Linked DNA regions of Arabidopsis thaliana. The protein of the gene in region 1 interacts with the protein of each later gene in a pairwise test. Each region holds a gene or a part of one and is shown in the gene's direction. Other genes may lie near its edges.

Region 1 (3,344 bases):
GTGAATCCAAAAGCAGAAAAGTCAATTAGCTGGTTGCCGAAGAAAGTAATTTAGAATCACACAAGAGAGAGAGAGCTTTCTCTTACCCATCTCAGGTGGAAGGTAATCCAAAGTGCCACACATAGTCCTTCTACGGTTGAATGTGTGTACTGACCATCCAAAATCTGCAATCTTGAGCTCACCCTGAAAACATATATCCATGAATACATAAACACATAAGCTAACTGCAATCACATGGCGTTGATGGAGAAAGATAACCAGATTCAATTTGTTACCTGAGCACCAATCAACAGATTTTCAGGTTTTATATCTCTGTGAATTACATGCTTTCCATGGCAATAGATGAGGGCTCTAGCCAATGACGCAACATACTGCCACAATAAACGTAAGGGTATGACTACACAGATTCACATTAACATGCTAGAATAAGTTCAATTATCACTAGGACTTACAGTTGCTGCTCGACGTTCGCTGAAGTACTTGCACTTCTGAAGCTCTTTATAAAGCTCACCCCTTACAGCATACTCCAAAATCAAATAAACTCTTTTCTGCAACAACGGTATCCCAAAAACTATGTTAACCTCACAGAGCCAAACATTGTATGTCAACAAGAAGTTCTTTTACAAGCACAGATAACACAAAACCTGATCATAGAAGTAACCGTAGAGCCGCAGAATATTGGGATGCCGAAGATGAGATTGAATCTCTACTTCCCTTCGTAACTGGTGTTCAACTTGAGATTGTTGAAGCTGAGCCTTAAAAAGAACCTTTAAAGCCACAATGTGATCGCTCTGTTTGCAAAGACACATAGAAGACAGCTTGGTTAAAAAAGACATCAAATTAATTCTGCTTGTTTAACATAATTGTGAAGAAACACTAACCCGTTTCTCTCTTGCTAGATAAACATGGCCAAACTTTCCTCTACCAAGTGGCTTTCCGATATCGAAATCGCTTGTAGTCCATCTCTTTTGTGCAGCCTCTGAAGCCGCCTGATACAACATTATCACAAAGATTGAAATCCAATCAACTCTCAGATACACTTAATCATAAACGACAAACAATCATTGATACTTTAAAACTTGAAGATAAAAGGATAAAATCAACAGCTCCTTAACACTAATCCACGGATTTGTCAATTAATCTAGGGTCCTCGCTGTAAACGAATAAATCCACAATCATATCATGAAATTTCTCAAAATCATACCAACAAGTCTTTCTCAAATTAAACAGAGAACATTGAAACAAGATTCTTTCTGGCGCAAAGAAAATCAAGCAACCAAATCGATAATCCCAGATCACATTCCATTAGAACAGACCAAACGCAGAGAAAAAACGCAAACCAACAAGGAAGTAAAACCCTAAATTGAAACAAATTCGACAAAAGAACCAAATGAAATTGGAATTTGTGAAACCAAGAACAAGTTATTTTCTTACAATTTGCTGCGTCTCTGTAGAAATCCCCATGGAAGAGATCGTTGATGAGCCAAGATAGCGAGAGAAAGAGAAGAAAGAAAGAGAGAAGAGAGAGTAATTTTCACAAAGGGAACAGATCCAAATTGAGAAATTTAAAAAGGGGAAAAAACGTAAACCACCAGCAAAGCAGCAACGGTCGAATCCAGATGCTGCCACGTGTTGATACATCTGCATCGAGGTTTTTATTTTCAAATAATTTGTCTCCCGAGATGATACAGTCGCTACAGGCCCAGATATTATTAAGCCCACGGTATTCCAACTTCATAATCACTAGGATAATATACAGTCACTACAAGCCCAGATAATAGCCCAATAAGCTTCAAGATCGTTTGACGATGAGATTTTAATTCGGAACTAAGTAACCACGTGTCAGTACCTCGTCAAAGTAGCTCCATGCAGAACTGACACGCCCGCGTGACACTCTTCTCCATTGCCTAACACGCCTCGTCGTTCGACACATGTCTCGTTTAAGTTTAGCCTCTCCTTCATACTAGTCTATTTTCATTCTTCATAATAATCACAAATGGTAAGCTTATTAAAGCTACAAAAACAACATAGAACATTAAATCCATACTCTCTTAGAAAAAGAAAAAAAGAAATGGCGGATCATCAACAACATCAGCAACAACAACAACCAATAATGAGGAGTCTCCATGAATCATCACCATCGACTCGGCAGATAGTGAGATTCGTAACGGCAGCTACGATCGGCCTATCACTCCTCGTGCTCTCAGGACTAACACTAACCGGAACGGTGATCGGTTTGATCGTAGCGACGCCGTTGATGGTTCTGTTCAGCCCGGTGTTGGTACCGGCAGTGATAACGATAGGGCTTTTGACGATGGGATTCCTATTCTCCGGTGGTTGTGGGGTGGCAGCAGCTACGGCGTTAACGTGGATTTATAAGTACGTTACCGGAAAACACCCGATGGGAGCGGATAAGGTGGATTACGCGAGGATGAGGATAGCGGAGAAAGCCAAAGAGTTGGGACATTATACGCACTCGCAGCCACAACAAACACACCAAACCACAACAACTACTCATTAGAGTTTAATAATTATATGGATCTATATGTTGTATTAAGTTTTATGATTATCCTACGTATGTTTTTTTAATACTGTTCTTACCTTTTTGAAAAGATCTATCTAAAATTTTATTTTCTATTTTCCATACAATTTTTTGTGTGTTTAATTGCTGATCGGTATTTTCTGTTTTATGATTGTGAAATAGCTAGTGTAAGGAAAGATGATAACGAATTAAGTAAATTAATAAATGCCAATTACTTGGTCACCGTCTGGCTTCTAGAATTATATGGTGGCTTTCTTGGTATATGTAAATGTAGTTTTGAGTGTGGTCCGTTTGATTTGAAATAATATTGTTGTTTTTATGTTCAAAAAGAAAATTGCAAGGTTTGTGAATTTTGTGTATCAATACCAAGGCTTGAACCACTTTATCTATACTCGCTAAATAAATTTCGAAGGCTGCGCTAAATGGCTCGTGTCATTTACGTTGTCTTCATGAACGTATTGTAGTTAGTGTGATTGTAAAAATATTTCTTTGTTTAATCATTCCTCAAAAATTGTATTCGGCCTTTGAGAGATGCGGTGAGGTCGTATGCATGTTTTCCCAAATTTCGAATACTTGCAAACTGTTCTATGAATGTGGTTTTTAGGTACTCATGAAATAATTGAAAACTTTACTTGTCTATATGTTCGTAAACCATTGGCATTGAATTGCATGGCATGGCTTACTATGCGCGCACCAACAAAATGCACATGCATGCTTCACGAACGTATAAAGAAGCTGAGGGTGGACAACATTCACTGCTTGTAGTGGGCAATGCAGTCTTGTAGAGCAGTTGTACTTTCAA
Region 2 (3,912 bases), on another chromosome or scaffold:
GGGTTTTGGTGGAGTTTTGGGAAACGGCGGCTTTGACGGAGAGGCGTTTAAGTGGCTTCAATGTTGACTTGAGAGACAAAAATGGGATTCTTGAGAGTGAAGTCTGATTCAATTGGTACTGATTTAGGGTTCCGCGGATTGATGAAGGTTGGGAGAGAAATTGAGTAACTGCCGCCATGGCTGGAGGATTTTTGTTAGGTGTGCGACTGTTACAGTAACACTGAAGGGTTTAGAAAAAAAAAGTCAACAAGTTTAAGAGTAGTTCCTGTCGGGTCCGGTTTTAGATATCCGACAATATCGAACCGGTGGTTATAGTCGAACCGATGGTTAAAAGAAGAAAGAACAAAGTCGATTTTAACTTCTTTTGGATATGGTTTTTGTCCTTGGGGGATAGTTTCTGCTAGTGTTTGTTTTGTTCGGTTGTGTTAGTTGTGTGTTGTAATAATCTTGATGCTTAAGGGGTCACCTAAAGCAGTCATGGAAATCTAGCCCTATCTATAAAAATTTGCCATTTCTCATCACCTACCAATACTTCTATTTGTTCGTATTATGCGGATATTCAGAGGATAATGTAAAACATTTTGTTGAATGCTAACGATGAAGTGCTCTATCTAGCCGTGCACGTTGTGGAGAAGTTATGTTTTAGAATCCACATTTGTTGAAGTTATGCTTATCATACTCTCTTAATTATCTATATCTATTACAAAGAGCAAGGAATGTTCTTAGTTAGGATTTGTTTTGTTTGGCAACCATTGCTTCTGGTTATTTGTGCTCTGCCTCCTTTGTAAGTTAGGATTTGTTTTATTCTTACAACTTTGCTTCTCTCGTCATACTATATAATCTCTGACTATGTATGTAATTGCATTCATGTCGATGGTTGTGGGATGTATATTTAGGTGTTTGACTGTAAGACGTTAAAAACAAACTTTACCATAAGTTATTGGGATGTCTAGACACTTTTATGGTTTGGTGAAGTAGGCTCAATGTTTTGCCCTTTATGTTTCCATTGTTGATGTTTATGTACCTTGCTGGTTGGAACCACTTGTGGATGTTTCCGACAATGCTTCTCTGTAATGCAGTTATCTTTTAATGAAATGTGATCGATCTTGAGTGTTATTTATTTTTATTTTTTTAAAGACTTTATGGTGTGGACACTTGACCGGGTGATAATTGGTAACTATACTACATAGTTAGAGAGCTCTTGAATTATTAATCACGCTAAATCTTGGGAATTGAGAGCTCGGAAGCAAAGGTTATTAACAAAATTCAAAGCAGAGCAGCATTGCCGATGAAATAATTATTGACTTGGGATTTACTCTCTGAAGTCTGAACCAAATCGAGATTATTCTAATTATATTTTTAATTTCGGATCCCTAATCTATTAATACTCCAATATCTGCACTCATTTAATTATTTCCTCTTTTTTTAACCTGCACTGACTTAAATTCAAACTTATTTCAATTGCGTGCACACTTTAGTGAACTACTACCACTATCACTATATGTGTCGGTGGATTATTATTTCCGTCATTTTGATATTTAATTACATCTTTAATTGTTACTCTTTTTTGCCCATTCTTCTTCTTCATTTGATTACATTATACTCTATTGTGAATTACTAAATTCTGAAAACAAGAAAAATTTGAGTACACAGGACACATCTTAGTATTACTCGTTACTAAAATACTACACGTGTAAATAATTTTTTCAGAAATAAATGGGGCCACTTTGTAAGTAATAAATCAGCTTACATTAATTATTTTACCACCCAATAAAAAGATTCCACAGACTTGGCATGGAAGTCATGAACATTCACAAAAATCTAAGAAAAACTGAAAACCGAAAAAAAAACAAATTATTAAAAAGCAATAAATAAATAAACTCAGAAAAAAAAGCTATTAAGATTCCACAAAAACTCTGTATTGTCTCTTTCTCTCTCACTATCTCTCTCTCTTTTGTGAGCTCAGATCTGACCAGAGAGAAAGAAACAACCGGAGAAGAAGAAGATGACTGACCGAGTCTTCCCAGCTTCCAAACCACCAACCGCCACTAATGGAGCTCCACCAGTTGGTTCCATACCACCTCCTCCAGCTCCGGCGACTGTAACCAGCAACGGAACAACAAACGGAATGGCTAATCAGAAACCTCAAGTCTACATTCCAGCTAACCGTCCGGTTTACCGTCCACAGCCTTACAGTCGCCGTCATCACCACCAATCTCGACCAAGCTGCCGACGAATTTGCTGTTGTTGCTGTTTCTGGTCGATTCTGATAATTCTGATCTTAGCTCTCATGACTGCAATCGCCGCCACCGCGATGTACGTGATCTACCACCCTCGTCCGCCGTCGTTCTCCGTCCCGTCAATAAGAATCAGCCGCGTGAACCTAACAACCTCCTCTGATTCCTCCGTCTCTCATCTCTCTTCCTTCTTCAACTTCACTCTAATCTCAGAGAATCCAAACCAACACCTCTCTTTCTCTTACGATCCTTTCACCGTCACCGTTAATTCAGCTAAATCCGGTACGATGCTCGGTAACGGAACTGTTCCTGCTTTCTTCAGCGATAACGGTAACAAAACTTCGTTTCACGGCGTGATCGCTACGTCTACAGCGGCGCGTGAGTTAGATCCGGATGAAGCTAAGCATCTGAGATCAGATCTGACGCGCGCGCGTGTAGGATATGAGATCGAGATGAGAACTAAAGTGAAGATGATAATGGGGAAGCTGAAGAGTGAAGGAGTAGAGATCAAAGTGACATGTGAAGGATTTGAAGGAACTATACCAAAAGGTAAAACTCCAATTGTAGCTACTTCTAAAAAAACTAAGTGTAAGTCTGATCTTAGTGTCAAGGTCTGGAAATGGAGTTTCTAGAGGGAATTTTGATAATTTCACAATTGAAATTTTCTATATAATCTTCTTCTTTTTTTCTTCTGGATTTTGTGAAACTTTTGGAATGATCCAAAAGGAGATTTCTTCAGTTGTTAGTTAAAAAATTTCAGAGAAGAGTCAGAGAGATAAGGTATTGTCAAGTAGAAGAAGGCCAGAGAATTCACGGCTTCTAAAAAAATTTCTTGGATTTTTGTTTTGTTTGGAACTTTCTTACTTGAATTTATATTTAATGGATACAGAAATATAAATGTAATACTTGTAACGAATGGAGTACTAAAAAGCTGGAGATTGCAGTGACTGCGTGATAGTGAGCATTAAAGTGAGATCGTAGTAGTAATAAACAGAACCTTAAAAATGGAAAAGATGCGTGGGGTTTGTGAGGAGAACAATGAAGAACACGAGAGATGTGTTAAATGTTAGATGTTGAACCATCTATCGCATTATACAACACCATTTAAGAGAAACGTGAATCGTCTTTAGTACTCTATAAAGCAAGCATATATTCTAGCAGTTGCATGTTATAAAATTAATACAGATCGATCACTCAATTCATGAATATGGTTTGATATAAACATTAAATTAAATGTCATGCTGTCATAAAAGATGAATTATATGGTTCATTTATCTAAGAAACTTTTTATTAACTAAGTAAGTAAAAGTTTGAAGAGGTCATTTGCAAGTGACTCCGACCAGGGATAGACTCCTGAAATCTTATCCAACTATGGACGACGACTTCATGTCGGTGTGTCCAAAAATGAGGAAAAGGAATCTGCCCAAGGGACAAATGGCATTACCCGAAACGGCAAAGAAGAACCGCAGGAAAAAAAGTTGACAATAACGTATGAGGTGTGACTGAAAAAGAAAAACTTGTAGTTTGGTTTATGACGTAAATGAATAATTTGGAAATGACAATAAGTCATCATATCTAATTTAGTGCATGACCTCCAACGTCGGCATATATTTGAGTCGGTGACCGGATATCCAGTACAAAGTAAAGTACAAACCAAAAAGAAAGACAAGACAAT
Region 3 (3,521 bases), on another chromosome or scaffold:
TTTTTAATTAAAAAGATATAATGAGAATCAAAATTTCTTCTTCTCATCTTTGTTTGTTTCTTTGGTCATTTTTAAGAGCTAAATCATCTTATCATTTGTATTTAAATTGTTTTTTCTGCATATATGATTCGAATTTATCAAAAACAAAATGTTGAAGATGCATCCAAAATAATTGAGAAGGGATTAAGTGATATTATTACCCAGGTCTAGTCGACTTAAATGATTTTCAAAAAATATGATGATCTGTTGTTCTTACAAACTCAGATTCCTAGCTAGTGTAGAGCTTCCAGAGTTCTCATTGTGTCTTGTTTGTGTCTTTACGAGAGGTTTGGAACAAATTTCTTGATCTTATCGTTAGGTTTGATCCCACACGCGAAGCAATATAAAGATTGTGATTTTTAGTATTGTGCAAGAATTCACAAAACACATAAAAATATCTTGTGATGATCAACAAGACTAGTAAACAAGTCTATCAACCTTACATGTAGAAGTGCACTGGTCGAATAACGAGGATGAGATTTGTAGGTCAAAACTGTAATTGATGGTAAATAAACATTGGCGATCATGATGTTATAAGGGGTATCAAAACCAAACTTAATTGAGTGTTTAGCAATGTGGCATCACAGTACCATTGGGGGAATCAGTATTATATTTTACTTTGTTACTGAGAAAATATTCAAATATTGGTTAGTAGATATAGACTAAAATAGTTACCGAGGAATAGATATTATTAAGATGTGACCACACTTTCTCATGAACTTTTGTAGCAAGTTCATAGAAAAACATGTGTAAAAGAAACATGGTGTTGCTATTTAGCCGCATATATATGAGGGCTTAATCTCGTCGCTATTTAACAATAGAAATAGTCGACGTCATTTGTTTCTACCAAGGGACTTAAACTTGTCCTTTGTCAATGCGTAGTTTTGTGGCTTCGGATTTTAAAAAATTGTTTCTGAATTTATATAGATCTAACAACCTTTGTAAGATTAATGCTTTAGATACTAATATACTATCAATGAAAAAGAGTATTTACTTTGTTTTCACATTTATAGGAAAAAATTAGAAATCTTCATTTACAAAACGACATTCGTAGTTTGAGGTTATTACTTTTTGGCGAAAAGAAAAGAAAAGTTTGAGGTTATTACTAACGATGCCAACTATCAAAACAAAATTTATGTTAGTAACCAATTATGTGGGTGTTTGGTTGAGTAGTAACTTTCCTTTTTACTGTTGTTCGGCAGTAGCTATAAACTTTTTGTTGTATGATTACATGTGTTGGTTGTAGATGTAGAGTTTGATTGGTAAAGTTAATTAAATATTGAGGATTCAAAATTTAAGTTTATCAATTTAAAATTATAACATAATATTAAATGAGATAACAAATAAATAATAAATAGTAAATTTCATATGTATAACACATTGTTTGGTCAATTTTATAATTTTTTTTACCTCAAAAATATGATAAGATTTTTTTGTTGTCTTATGTTTAAAGTACAACGTACTCATATAATCTTATGCTTGTGAAAGTTAAAAATAATTTCTGTCCCGCTTGATGATTATGTCATTTTATTCTACAAATTTTTTTTGGCAACCGATATTAATTAGAATTCAAAGAGTTAATCCGAGAGATATTGTTTATATATATGGTATGATGCAATTCGGTATAATTCTTTCATACCAAATTATCCGTTTTTACATTTACACTACAAAAAATTAAAAATAAAGAAAAGTTTGTGAATTCCTTCTTGTCATTCCAAAATTTATCTTTTTTTTCCTAATTTTTCGGTATAATTCTAATTACTCTATGATCAAAACCATAAATAAAGATAAAACTGAACAAACACAAAAACTTGGATCCAAAAATACGGTTGGGACATTACCACATTTATGGCGGCATTCAATTCAATTGATTGCCACGCATTTTTCCAAAAGAATATACCCTATATAAAAAAATCCATTAAATATTATCTTTAACACATAAATGAAATCTTTCTCCTACATCCTACATAATCTGTGAATCTTCTTTCCATGTTTACACTGTTATAAAGCAACTTCAACTAATCCCGTTTTAAATATAAGCTATCTACTCTCTCTTAGCCATAATGGGAAACGAAGCAGCACTAAGATCATCAATGGTAGGTCTTGCAGTGGTGATGGTAGTTGTATGGTTATGGACACAGTCTTTAAAGAAGACGGTTGTTACTTACGCCGTCGGTATTTCTCTTATTGGCGGCATACTTTTGCCGGATTGGGACTTCTTTGATCGGAGTTTCTCTCGGTGGGGCTATCCTGTCACCGCCGAGGAAAGATCAGCCGCTCTCGCCCGCAAATCTCATCCTTCAAGGTTACTTGTTTATCTTATCTCAATATCAAACTAGTTGTTTTATCATATCATTATATATTAATCTTTGAATTATTAGATCTAAATTTTGGTTTAGCTTTATTGCCTTAAAACCTATTGGATAAACATAAATCATACATACAATTTTTTTTTTGTCAACCGATATTAATTTGGATTCAAAAGAGCGAATCTCAAACCATACATACAATGTTAGGTTCCATTTGCAATGTATGTATTATTGTATATCTACGAATTAGGTGTACAAGTTATGATTGAATTTGTTTATTTTCGTGAATATTTTCTATTGATTTTAATTGTTAGATCCAAATTTTGGTTTGGTTTACTGGCCTAATTAATGGATAATGGATACATCTTTGGACCAAGTAATGCAGGTTTAGAGTGTACCCTATGAGGATGGTTTTATACGGCACGGTCTATGGATATGCAGTGTATAGGTGGTGGATGTTCGTATCAAATTATTGAAGCCATATTGTATTTACTTGGTCCATCTTTTTTATGGTTTAGTGTTGTTGATTAACAAAATATTTAGCTTCGTTTTATTTTAACTTTGTAGAACATGTAAGACTACCAGATTACATATTGGTGTGTCCACATAAGATGGACAAAAATTGTCAAATGGATTGTGGTATACAAAATTGACCCAAAACAAAACTCCTAGAGACTCTAAATGAGCATTCTACCACCAAATTCTGTCCCACATCAGAAAGATCTTTAGGTTAAAAGTGAATGTCTCTAGGTTGTTTCGCAAGAAGGAGCAGGAGGGGGAGGAGGAACACCGAAGACCCAATCTAGTACGTTCAAGTATTTTGATCGAAATACGTCTCTTTCTTGTGCGTAACAATGCATTATAATGGCTGTCGAAACGCTGAACACAACCACATCCGCTCTTCTTAAACTCTTGGGCGGTCGAATGTATCCTGCCTCTGTCATGCAAGTAAAGAAGCTCTCTATCGCCCTCGCTAAGCAGTATAGTGATATCTCTATCCTTCTGCTTTTCTTCTCAATAGCTAAAGCCAGACCTGTTGGGAACTGCAGGAGAAGCCTAACGTTAGGTATTATATTAACAATGATATGTGATGAGAATGGCTTTCGTTTGTACTGTTGCTATGGCCACAAGCGGTATGTTGCATGTCTCAAAAGTGCGGAATAGTAGACAAGT
Region 4 (5,310 bases), on another chromosome or scaffold:
ATTGAATAGGAACAAAATCGAGATCTATCATTACATGTTGCTACAGGCACGGTGCCCTCTTTATAACTTTAAAACATTTTGAAAACAACAAAAGATTACACAGATTCAGAAACGAAATTAATTTGATCCATTATTTAAAACCTCTAAAACCTTGATCCATTTTAAGTAATAGACATCGACCCACTTAACCACTGAACCGTCTTATTGAGTAATTTAACCGGAAAATTTTACTGAACCAGAACCTTCCAATTGAAGAAGAGGCTTTAGTGAATCATCTTCGTCATCGATCATCAGATTCTTCAGATTCGCAAGTAAAAACTAAGAATCGACCAATCGTTTATTACACGAATACTTACTTATAAAGACAATATTAAATAAACCAGATATTTTTATTCCAATTAACCGTCCAAAATAAAAATAGATAGCCGTTTTATTTTAATTTCTCCCTATCCTACAAAGTGAAAGTCGCCAGTATCTCTTTGTACTCCCTCGCTATCTCGAAAGAGTCGTGGATGACTGCGTCGCTGCTTCTCCTGTACTCGAACTGAATGGTAGAGTGATCGACGACAATTAAGGTGACGAACCCAAAGTCCTTGTCGCCGAGCAGGCTCCAGCTGGACTGCATGCAAGAGAAATCATCTAGACTGGCTCCTCCACCTCCCGCAACAACATGAATAGTCCCGTTTAATGGCTCCTGCAAGGATGGTTGGATGGCGTGATCCCGAATACATACATACAGTTTTTCTCAAATAGTTGTGGCCAAAATCCAAATATGTACCATGTGTTTTCTCTGTTATGAACCTAGGTGATATTTGAGCACTAGCTACGATAATATTAGAACTAATTTGATAAGAAAATGGAATGTTTTTTTCTTAAATTTTTCTTAAGTTTTGCTTAAGTTTTGCTCAAGTTTTTCTTAAGTTAGAAAGAACTTTTGGGTTCGTCATTTCTTTTCTGAGAGGGAATTAAAAAGTCAAATTTGTTCTTGCTTTTTAGCTGCTGTTCAAATTCAGAATCTTGTCTTCTTCTCTCTCAATTTGTTCCATAGATCTAATCAGTTGAAATAATGAATCTGAATACTATATATATATATATATATATTCTAATATAATACAATGATGTTTGCATATACTTTTAAAAGACCCTGACAAGAAGAGAAACTAGTAACACATCAAACTTTAAAGAATTTGTAAAGAAATTTAAGACTCATTGCAGAGAAGAGAAGCACAAAACCTCGTAGTAAACCTTGATGAGGAAAAGACCTTGATAGGCGTAGAACACAGTAGAGGTGGATCGACATATTTAACTCTTGTAAGACAAATCGAAGCACTGTAGAAACAAAGAAAAAGGTGCAATGTAAAGCTTTTATCATATAAAATAACACAAAGCTTTACATCAAATCCGAGAACTGTTGGAGAAGCTTTGACATAAGCTTCTTCATTCACATCAAACAGTGTCCTATGAATTGCAACTCCTGACAAAGGTTGCTTTCGATGAGATTTTCCCTCTTGAATTGACACAAGAGTCACCAAAACATCAACAAGTTTCCCATTTCTCACAAGAAGATCATGAAAACAAATGTCTGAAGATGAAGATGAATGTGATACAACTGTGTTCTAGAGATAACTTGTAGGAAACAACATTTATAAAGTTGGTGACTGATGATCAAAACCTAGAAACATAGGCACAAAGCATATAAAGATATGGTGATCATTAGCATTAACATTCCTTTCACACACTTCCGTGACTTGTTGGTTTAAGTGTTTCTAAATCTAGAAATCCAATTGGGAGCCAAAAGAAGACTATGATGTGGACATGTGACCTGCGTTTGCCAAAAACGTACCTTTTACTAACCCAAAGTCCAATCACATTTGGGTCATTGGACTATTCAATTGCAATTGAAACCCAACACAAAGTCCAAAACACTCATAAAGTCTAAACATTTGAATAAGTGATTCTTTTCACTCGTAAGAAGCCAAAATTCGCCATGAGAGAAGAACAAGTCTCTGATTGCGGATCGATTACTCTTGAAGAATGGAATGGTTCTTCTTCCACTAAGCTATTCAAAACAGCAACCATCACTGCCTCCTCTTCTCTCTCTATCCAAAGGTTCTTCTTTATTCCTCTTTGAAATCAATCCAAATCTGATAGTTTCAGTGGATTCACAACAAAATTGAGAAACTTTCTTGGGTTTTCGTCTCCTGTGAGTGATTCATAGGTCTGCTAATCGCTTTAATCATGTGTGGAGACGAGTTCTTCAAGCATTTGTACCAGAGGCAAGTGTTTTCTCTCTTTTTCCCTTTAGAATCTGTCCTCCGGATTAGGGTTTGGCTGAATTGTACTTTGTCTAGTGCAGGGCTTTCCTGGCAGTGTAACTCCAGATTATGTAGGGTTTCAGTTATGGGACACATTACAGGTATGTGAGAATATGCTTGTATGCCTTATAGCTACTGTGAAATTTGAATTGTGACTCTCGGCTATGTTTGTTGCAGGGCCTCTCAACTTATACAAAGATGATGCTTTCCACTCAGGTGAGCTAAAGCTAAAGTTTTTGAGCTTCTGAGTTCTCTATTTTGGTCCAATTTGTCTGCTGCAGCATTTCTGATTTGGACTATTTTCAGGCTCTTTTGAGTGCAATTGGCGTTGGTGAGAAATCCGCAACTGTTATAGGTGCTACATTTCAGGTGAGTTTTTCCATTGCTTACATATAACATTTCACACTAGTTCTCTCAAGAACTATAAAGCGCAATGGAGAATAGTGATTCTATCTTGTGTATTATGCAGTGGTTTCTGAGGGATTTTACTGGGATGCTTGGAGGTATATTGTTCACATTTTATCAGGTGCCTATGTAGCAGATTCTTCCCAATCATAATACACATCGATTCTCTTCCCTTTTCTTTAAGATTTAGATTGGTTACGTTCTTATTTAATGGGAACTGTTCTGTTCTTCAGGGTTCCAACCTGGATAGCAATGCAAAAATGTGGCGCCTAGTTGCTGACCTTATGAATGATATTGGTATGTAAAAGTTAGTTGTCACATCACACTTGATACTAATTGCCTGTATTTGGTTCTCAGTTGAATGACTACAAGCTTTGTTGCTTTTATTGCAGGAATGCTAATGGACCTTCTTTCTCCTTTGTTTCCATCTGCCTTTATCGTTGTGGTTTGCTTAGGGAGCCTATCAAGATCATTTAGTGCGTATCATTTCTTGCATCAAACATTGAAGTTAAGACTTCGGTTTGGATTGATACATCGGTTTTTAACTTTTTTCAATCTTGGCTATTAGCTGGTGTTGCAAGTGGAGCAACCAGAGCAGCTCTAACACAGCACTTTGCTCTTCAAGACAATGCAGCGGATATATCTGCTAAGGTACTCTTTACTTCTTGTCACTGTGAATGATATAGAAACTATAAATGTGAACTTTGAGTAATTCTTTGCTTCTATTTTATCTATTGAAAGGAAGGAAGCCAAGAGACTATGGCAACTATGATGGGTATGTCATTGGGAATGTTGCTAGCTCGGTTTACCTCTGGAAACCCTATGGCTATTTGGCTTTCGTTTCTCTCTCTCACCGTGTTTCATATGTATGGTAAGTCACAAATGAAGGTTAAAGCATAGATCAAATCAGAATTTCTCTCACTGTTTGCCTTTCTTATATATTTAGCAAACTATAGAGCTGTCCGGTGTCTTGTATTGAATTCATTAAACTTTGAGAGGAGTTCAATTCTTCTAACACATTTCATTCAAACTGGCCAAGGTAATTTCGAAATGCGCCATTGATTCTTTCAAGTTTTCAGTGGCTTTCCTTTGTTTTTTATTGGTTTCTCTTTATTATTGCACCATATACCAATAACTTTCTTTAACTAAACGTGTTGCCAGTTCTCTCTCCCGAACAGGTTTCTTCAATGGAGGGTGTATTGCCCTTGTGGGCCACTTCATTGAGGTCAACGAATTCAAAGCCATTGCATAAGAGAGTGCAGTTAGGTGTGAGAGTTTCCTCTCTCCCTCGTCTAGATATGTAAGCTCTATACTAGATTATCATAATTTTCGGGTAAAGAATCGGCTCAAGCTTGACATATTTGTGTGCAGGTTGCAGCTGCTAAATGGTGTTGGAGCTTCTTCATACAAGAATGGTTTGATTGATTTATTTTTCCACAATCTTTCAAGGACATTAGTTTCTCTGTCCATACTTGACGTAAGCTCGGTTCTTGTCTGTTGTTGTACACTCCTGCAGCTAAGTATTTATTGGCTCACATAAAGGGAAATGTTAGTGTGATCTTGCACAAAGATTCAAAACCTGCAGATGTGTTGAAATCATATATTCATGCCATTGTTTTGGCAAACCTTATGGAAAAGAGCACATCTTTTTATTCAGAAGGAGAAGCTTGGATTGATAAACACTATGACGAATTGCTCCACAAGGTAAGATTAAATCACTAGGACCAGTTAAACCGTGTTTTTATGACACTAAAGCTACTGTTTTCACTCTTTTTCTTTCTGTTGTTTCCCATGTAGCTGAGATCAGGAGGTTGGAAAACAGAGCGTCTTCTTTCGCCTTCCATTACTTGGAGAGCTAATTGGATATCTCACACTTCCGCTGCTAAGTTCGACTGAGCTTTATCGCCTTTCAAGATCAAAATAGTTTGTTAACTCGTTGCAAACATACAAAAATATGTTAGTTCTAAGTCATGTAAAACATGTAACCGATACCGGTTTAACCGTAAAATGTCGGTTTAACATTGTATAACGTTTGTTATTAATGGAAAATTAAAGAATTATAATAATGGCAACCGTTTTATTTTTTTGGAAACGCAAAAATTGGAATCGGAACCGCTTCGAACGTATAAATACTTCAATTTTGTGATTCTCTTTCATTATCACTTCATGTTCATCGTTTAGCTCGTAGCTGAAGCTAATTCCACAACTCCGGCCAATAATTCCGCCGGCGAATGGAATCCACGGTGAGTATTTCGTTTATAGTCAGACACTTGTACCCTAGTTTTTGGAATTCGATTAATTTATTGTTTGTTAATGCTATTAGGTCATGCCTGGGTTTGATAGAATTAGCGAATTGCCGGAATCTTTGATTAGTCAAATACTGTTACACCTTCCGACTAAAGCTTCTGTGAAGACGAGTGTTTTATCGACTAGATGGAAGAATCTATGGCTTAATGTTCCCGGACTTGATTTGAACTGCCGTGATTTCCCCTTTCAGAACAACAACGAAAAACTGTTGATTGATTTCATTGACAGATTTCTCCAGTTTAACAATGAGTCACGTCTTCAAAAATTCAAGGTAGATTACAGT

Evidence for each region.
Region 2: the proteins of AT2G25890 (region 1) and EMB3135 interact in a protein complementation assay, tested with the Arabidopsis thaliana proteins (one large-scale study listed by BioGRID).
Region 3: the proteins of AT2G25890 (region 1) and AT1G34640 interact in a protein complementation assay, tested with the Arabidopsis thaliana proteins (one large-scale study listed by BioGRID).
Region 4: the proteins of AT2G25890 (region 1) and RUS3 interact in a protein complementation assay, tested with the Arabidopsis thaliana proteins (one large-scale study listed by BioGRID).

Annotation. Positions count from the first base shown.
Region 1 is NC_003071.7:11,035,364-11,038,707, forward strand, and holds AT2G25890 (Oleosin family protein), read left to right. Parts: upstream 1-1,939; 5' UTR 1,940-1,996; coding exon 1,997-2,521; 3' UTR 2,522-2,816; downstream 2,817-3,344. Other genes in the region: AUR2 (ataurora2), read right to left, coding at 87-183, 276-371, 453-548, 645-791, 882-989, 1,435-1,647.
Region 2 is NC_003076.8:3,829,765-3,833,676, forward strand, and holds EMB3135 (harpin-induced protein), read left to right. Parts: upstream 1-1,735; 5' UTR 1,736-2,005; coding exon 2,006-2,869; 3' UTR 2,870-3,387; downstream 3,388-3,912. Other genes in the region: AT5G11880 (Pyridoxal-dependent decarboxylase family protein), read right to left, coding at 1-178.
Region 3 is NC_003070.9:12,687,009-12,690,529, reverse strand, and holds AT1G34640 (peptidase), read left to right. Parts: upstream 1-1,986; 5' UTR 1,987-2,102; coding exon 2,103-2,344; intron 2,345-2,733; coding exon 2,734-2,824; 3' UTR 2,825-2,978; downstream 2,979-3,521. Other genes in the region: AT1G34630 (uncharacterized protein), read right to left, coding at 3,095-3,391, 3,462-3,521.
Region 4 is NC_003070.9:4,719,730-4,725,039, forward strand, and holds RUS3 (root UVB sensitive protein (Protein of unknown function, DUF647)), read left to right. Parts: upstream 1-1,844; 5' UTR 1,845-1,987; coding exon 1,988-2,109; exon of another isoform or gene 2,110-2,218; coding exon 2,219-2,276; intron 2,277-2,356; coding exon 2,357-2,416; intron 2,417-2,492; coding exon 2,493-2,531; intron 2,532-2,621; coding exon 2,622-2,684; intron 2,685-2,784; coding exon 2,785-2,841; intron 2,842-2,953; coding exon 2,954-3,017; intron 3,018-3,112; coding exon 3,113-3,196; intron 3,197-3,288; coding exon 3,289-3,371; intron 3,372-3,461; coding exon 3,462-3,591; intron 3,592-3,666; coding exon 3,667-3,759; intron 3,760-3,881; coding exon 3,882-4,020; intron 4,021-4,091; coding exon 4,092-4,135; coding exon of another isoform or gene 4,136-4,236; coding exon 4,237-4,424; intron 4,425-4,517; coding exon 4,518-4,616; 3' UTR 4,617-4,786; downstream 4,787-5,310. Other genes in the region: AT1G13760 (uncharacterized protein), read right to left, coding at 636-694, 1,234-1,372; AT1G13780 (F-box/RNI-like/FBD-like domains-containing protein), read left to right, coding at 4,952-4,963, 5,044-5,310.